2 linked regions of the Oryza sativa Japonica Group genome follow. The protein of the gene in region 2 binds, or shares a complex with, the protein of the main gene of each other region. Links are inferred from orthologs where the notes say so. Each region holds a gene or a part of one and is shown on either strand. Other genes may lie near its edges.

Region 1 (4,109 bases), on a different chromosome or scaffold from region 2:
TGTTTCATGAACTGTCTTTGCACTTTGCACGTCTTCTCCGTTGACTTCAGGATTTACTTAGTTGTGGACGGGTTTGGTGGTTGATCTGATTGTATTATCTGTTTCCAGTGATACCATTTTATCTACTCATCACCATTCTTACTGCTGTCTTGCAGGCTGGTAGGGCACTAGGCGATCTAAGATCACTTAGGGAACTGTATGACTCAAAAACACTAGTAATTCTATTCCTCATTGGAACTGTTGCTGTTGCTCCAACGATTCTGAAAAGGAAGAGAATATACGAATGATGCCACTAAAAAGCATCTAAACAGTGTATTAGTAGAGCACTCCAGAAGTGTATTAGTTTTTTTTCCCTTTCTTTGTTGATATTGTATACCTATTCAATTTAGCTGTAGAGATGTAGTAGTAACATGATGAATGTTTTCCTCAATAATAGATGACGCTAAGCTGTTGCATCTGTTGCCCCAATGTTCTTATAAATCCCCACGTCCCAATTAACGATGCGGTGGAACTATCTGGTTGTTGTGGTTTTACAGTAAATCTTACTGCTCCCAATTGGATGGGCAACCTTATCCGTCGTTTTGAAATGATGTGTTATTTGCCACCAATTGTCCTATTATCTCCATTTATTTTATTTTCACTTGAGACATTTCTGCAAGATGATATTCAGAACGTTCCCCACAGATTATCCTAATACAAAATGCAATACGAATTAAACTTACATTTAGTAGTACCTAAACTGTTACATCTAGGATTATAAACGTGCTGAAATTCTTTATCCTCCCACAAAAACCCCAGAAATTTATATTCAGAGGAAGCTTATGCAGTTCTTTATCCTCCCACAAAAACCCCAGAAATTTATATTCAGAAGAAGCTTATGCAGCATAGCTGATCCTAAAGGCTACAACATATTCTTCTTTTTTTCCTAGAGAGAGGAGAATATTTTCTTTCGTGTTTACTCCCTCCATCTTAAAAAAAAGCTTAAAAAAAAGAAAGTCAGGAACATAACTTAAAAAAGCTTTAAAAAAAAAGAAAGTCAGGAACATAACTTAAGACTGTGTTCGGGAGGAACTCACCTCTCGCGCACGTAAAACGGAGCGAAGCATTTTCTTATGATTAATTAAGTATTTATTAATTGTTTTTGAAAAATGATTTTTTAAAAGCAACTTTTGTGTAGAAATCTTTAAAAAAACACATCGTTTAACCGTTTGAAAAGCGTGCATGCAGAACACAAGGGAGATGTGTTGGAAAAAGTGGGAAAAGAACACAGCCTAGTACTAACTTAATAGCCTAGTACTAACTTAGGGTGTGTTTAGTTCACGCTAAAATTGGAAGCTTGATTGAAATTAGAACGATGTGACAGAAAAGTTGGAAGTTTATGTGTGTAGGAAAGTTTTGATGTGATGTAAAAGTTGGAAGTTTGAAGAAAAAAATTGCAACTACGGCGTTATCTAGATATGGAGTACTCCTAGCTTGTTCTTTTTTCTTTTTCTTTTTTTAACAGAAGGAGTAAACTAGCGACTTGACCTGTTTGGGCCGTACCCTGCAAGGCCCAACCCAAGAAGTCGCCGATACAGTGGTAGCCTACAGGTGCGGCTACCTTATCGGCTTCCTTCCCGTTGGGTTCTATCCGAGACAGCACCGAGAGCTCCGGGAGAGAAGCGCACGCACCTCCGTCCCTCGTCGGGAGCGCAGAAATGGCGACCCTCTCGATGGTCTCCGTCCCCATCGCCACCTCCTCCCTGCCCCTCTCCGCCCGAGGCCGCAGCTCCTCCGTCTCCTTCCCCGTTCCCAAGGTGAGAAGCAAAGCCACCCCTCCCCCCGCCTCCCCCCTCCGCGCCCACTTCTTGTTCGGCCATTTGCTCGCTCGTCCTGTTCCTTGGTTCTGTGCGATTGATATGTGATTCACGCATGACGCATCGTACATCCGTATCACTTATTGCAACTCAACCCCTGGGATCGTTTTGTTATCTTTGCCATCTTGGAGGTTGGGGAGGCTAGTGGCCGTGCTTTGTGTACTACAGTACTAATTTTGAGTATGTGCAATTCAGTAGTTTTTTTTCCGTGATGTTGGAAGAACAGTGTTCCTGTGCAATTTTAGAATTATTGGCATCTGTGAGGAACTAGTATTTATATGCTTGTATGCTTATGAGTTTGAATCTCTGCCCCTAGCACATATCATGTTGGAAGAATGGATAGTGTTACGAAGTAGTATTTCTTTGGACAGCAGAGTGTATATGTAATTCATGTAGGGACTAGGAATAGCAAAGAAGGTTAATTATGCATATAGGATGTAAAAAGAATCGTAATTCCTTGTTAGTACTCCCTCAGTTTCATACTATAAGTAGTCAAAGTTCTTTAGGTTTGACCAAGTTTAAAGAAAAAATTTCCCCACCCCATTATCTTTACTTGCCCAGTCATTTGTAGGCCTGTGCTTTTAACTGTGTTGTGGTTTTGATTCTTTTTTTTTTATTATTGGGTACTGGACAGAAAGGGGGTATTGGTCATGGTGGCCTGCGGATCGAGTGCATTCGTATTGGTGGAGTGGAGATCCCGAACCACAAGAGGGTAGAGTACTCACTGCAGTACATCCATGGCATTGGGCGGTCACGCTCCCGTCAGATCCTCTTGGACCTCAATTTTGACAACAAGGTCACAAAGGACCTCTCCGAGGAGGAAGTCATCACTCTCCGTAAGGAGGTTACCAAGTACATGATTGAGGGAGACCTTGTAATGGCCCTATCCCTTGCTAATTCATCACTTAACTTTTTTTCTGTAATTTTGGTGATTAGTATGGTTACCCTACTTTGGTACTTCCTCCGTTTCACAATATAAGTCATTCTAGCATTTCCCACATTCATATTGATACTAATAAATCTAGATAGATATATATGTCTAGATTCATTAGCATCAATATGAATGTGGTAAATGTTAGAATGACTTACATTGTGAAACGGAGGGAGTAGCATGTTGAAGATTCCTTGAAATTTGGTACCCTTAAACTGATCGTTCTGAAAAAAAAAAGACTCTGTAGTTCTTTTCCCATTTCTGTCATCGTGGATTTATGTTGTGTTGCTAAAATAGAGTTCTGATGTGTTTGCCATGCTTTACAGAAACGGTTTAATCGTGTGGCGATTGAGAGGTTGAAGGAGATTAGGTGTTACAGGGGCATCCGCCACAAGCTAGGGCTGCCAGTTCGTGGACAGAGGACGAAGAACAATTGCAGGACGCTGAAGGGAAGGAGGGCTTCTGTTGCGAAGAAGAAGTCGCCTGCTTCCCAGGAGGAATAAGACACATTGCCATGTATTTACCTTTGGTTCTTTGCCTCTTGTTTATTTTTTGTGTTCTGCTTGACCACGCTCTTGTCTGGTATTATGAGATTTTATGTTGGTGTCGTCATAGATGAATCACGGGTTGTGATCTGTCACTGAAAAAGTTATATTTGTCACCTGTCTTACATGAACTGATGCTAAATTAAGGTTATACTATGTTTTTCAGTCCATCATCTTGCTGTCTCTCTTCTGTTGTCATATCTATGCTTGACCGACCTGTTCCTGATGAATTAACGTATCGCCAGTTTTCTGTCCATTTGTTCCACATGCCACCGTCAGATCTAATGCCTTGTTAACTTTACAAGCTGAAAGAGGAGTATCAGTGTAGCTGAATAATAATATTAGGAACCTGCCTTGCTGATAGCAGCAGACGGGGCTTTTAACTATTTGCCACTCTTACGAATGGTGCTTAACGATTTGCTACTAGACCCACATGTCATAGACACATGAGGGCCCACATGTTATTGGCAGGGTGTGGCAAATCGTTAATTGCCATGTCACAAGAGTGGCAAATAGTTAAATTTCCCGCAGCGGACACCAGTCGAGATTTTGGTTTTTTGTGAAGAGATGATTTAAACTTGAGTTACCAATTACCATGATTACCATGCGTGTGGTTGGAACATGGAACTTTCTGGAGAGAGCTGCTCGGCTCAATCTTGGCTTGTTCACTTTGTTGTCCAAATCAACCATACCAAATTTTGTTACATTTCGGTACTACTGGCTTTGTTTGGTTTGATATCTTACCAAATTTTGGTAGAGGTTTAAGAGGAAGCTTCT
Region 2 (2,709 bases):
TGGGGAAAACCCAAACTAAAACTTTTCGAGGGAGCGGAATTCCTAGTAAAAAAATCCTGGACCCGTCCACTTAGATGAAAAGGAATTTTTCTATCTAATAGAACAATGGAACTCTCGCGCGGTTGTGGTTGTACCTGTACTGCAGGAATAGGAAAACTCGCTATTCACTCAGTTTTTTTTCCATAATAAGATTATGGAGGAGAGATGGCCGAGCGGTTCAAGGCGTAGCATTGGAACTGCTATGTAGACTTTTGTTTACCGAGGGTTCGAATCCCTCTCTTTCCGTTTTTCTTAATTCAGCAACGTTAATGATTACAATGTATCAAATCAAATGACAATTTATTCCAGCAATAATACAATACCTTTATTTAATAGAAATTCTCTATACCAAATTACTATGGTATGTAAAATACACATAGAGGAAAGAACAAAAAACAAAAAGGAATCCTAGGGTTAATCCATTTCTGTTAGGTGAATGGGAAAATACGAATTAAGAGCCTTAGGTCGATTTAGTTCGGGGAAAGGGGAAGGGAAGAAAAATTCTATGAACCTTTCCGTTTTTCCTTAAGTTCAAGTTTGACGAGAGTAATATTCTACAACTAACAACTCATTTATTTTGAGACCGACCCACTTCCTATCCAGGATTTTTTTTACTAGTCCTTTATATTGCAATGTGTCAATCGTCAAATGCTTTGGCAATTTCCCCGGGTCGGATGAAGCAATAGAATTTTGAACCAGACGTTTTGATCTTTGGTTATCCTTCGTAGTAATAATATCTCGGGGTTTGCAACGAAAACTTGGTATATCGACTATACGACCATTAACTAAAATATGTCTATGGTTAACTAATTGCCGGGCCTCGGGAATGGTTGAAGCCATACCTAATCGAAAAAGGATATTATCCAAACGCATTTCAAGTAATTGTAGTAAAACCTGACCTGTTGAACTTTTTGCTTTTCCAGCGATATGTACATATCTAAGTAATTGTCGTTCTGTCAGACCATAATGAAAACGCAATTTCTGTTTTTCTTGAAGACGAATACGATATTGTTCTTTTTTCCCAGAATGGAATTTCTTTTTCAGATTACTTCCGGATTTAGGTGTTTTTCTAGTGAGTCCTGGTAAAGCTCCCAGACGGCGTATTTTTTTAAAACGAGGTCCTCGATAACGGGACATGAAGACTCCTTTTTTTATTGAAATTTCATTTTACACAATTAATTTCATTGTATTTACATTACAGAATACATCGAAATTAAAACTGAATTAAAGTAAAGGATAAACAGAGTAAAATCTACTAAAAGTACCACAAAAAAATGGAATTTCATCAACATCTGAATTTTTGTATATATATTATTTATTTTATTGTTTTGTATCTAGCAAAATTGTAGGGTAGACCGACATAATAGATCCTGGCTTCTCCATTTAATTCGGAGAAAAAGAGGTATTTTTGTTCATGGAACATTGATAGAGAAAAAAGCCGACTATCGGATTTGAACCGATGACCCTCGCATTACAAATGCGATGCTCTAACCTCTGAGCTAAGTGGGCTTACATAACAGAAATAGTGTAACAAATAGAAATATGTATAGTATAGGAAATCCGTAAAATGTCAGATCTTAATTATTAATCTTAGCTATTAACTAGTTCGAAATTGGAAGTTCTACTTAGAAAAAAATACTAGAACTTCATAAAATAAAGTTAGATAGATTTTTTTGAACTTTCTTTTTTCTCTAATTCGCAAATCTATTTTTCTAATAGAATCTATTCCAATTTCTATATTGAATTTGATTTTAGATATTTTTAATTTGATATGGCTCGGACGAATAATCTAATACATGGAAAAGAATAAATAATATATATTATATACGAAAACATAATAAAGAGAACATGCGAATTTCTTGTATTTTCAGTCCATCATTATAGACATTTTTTGAGATTATTTTGTTTTTTTTTGTTATTTGCTAATAATTTAATGATTAATATTTCACTAAGGAGAACATAGAATCATAGCAAATGAAATTGCTAATTCTGATTAGCAAAAAAAAAGAATGAATATCAAGCGTTATAGTATGATTTTGAATACTCTAAAAAAGGAACGCGGTAGGTGGGGGAGAGAAAAACCTTGGGATATATTGATTCGCATTGAATTGCAAATACATCAACGATAGAATCAATTCAATGCTGAATTGCAATAAGCGGAGTCTCTCAACTAGAGACGAACCGCTAGACTACATAGAGTAATGAATTCAACGATTCAAAAAAAACTAACAGATGGAGGAAATTGCACAAGGAATCCTGGTCTCAAAGAAAAAGAAAATGGGGATATGGCGAAATCGGTAGACGCTACGGACTTGATTGTATTGAGCCTTGGTATGGAAACCTGCTAAGTGGCAACTTCCAAATTCAGAGAAACCCTGGAATTAAAAAAGGGGCAATCCTGAGCCAAATCCATGTTTTGAGAAAACAAGCGGTTCTCGAACTAGAACCCAAAGGAAAAGGATAGGTGCAGAGACTCAATGGAAGCTGTTCTAACGAATCGAGTTAATTACGTTGTGTTGCTAGCGGAACTCCCTTCTAAATTAGGGAAAGAAGGGCTTTCGAAATCTAATACCACGTATAGATACTGGCATAGCAAACGATTAATCACAGAACTCATATCATAATATAGGTTCTTTAATTCTTTTTTAAAATGAAAATAGGAATGATTAT

What was found.
Region 1: rps4 (region 2) and small ribosomal subunit protein uS13c share a complex: the UniProt entries of both Arabidopsis thaliana proteins name them as parts of the 30S ribosomal subunit. The link is inferred for Oryza sativa Japonica Group from reciprocal best matches to the Arabidopsis thaliana genes rps4 and EMB3137.

The regions. Positions count from the first base shown.
Region 1 is NC_089037.1:29,173,447-29,177,555, forward strand, and holds small ribosomal subunit protein uS13c, read left to right. Parts: upstream 1-1,603; 5' UTR 1,604-1,697; coding exon 1,698-1,796; intron 1,797-2,490; coding exon 2,491-2,730; intron 2,731-3,113; coding exon 3,114-3,290; 3' UTR 3,291-3,505; downstream 3,506-4,109. Other genes in the region: uncharacterized membrane protein At4g09580, read left to right, coding at 156-287. UniProt on the Arabidopsis thaliana protein: Located at the top of the head of the 30S subunit, it contacts several helices of the 16S rRNA.
Region 2 is NC_001320.1:44,240-46,948, forward strand, and holds rps4 (ribosomal protein S4), read right to left. Parts: upstream 1,177-2,709; coding exon 571-1,176; downstream 1-570. UniProt on the Arabidopsis thaliana protein: One of the primary rRNA binding proteins, it binds directly to 16S rRNA where it nucleates assembly of the body of the 30S subunit. With S5 and S12 plays an important role in translational accuracy.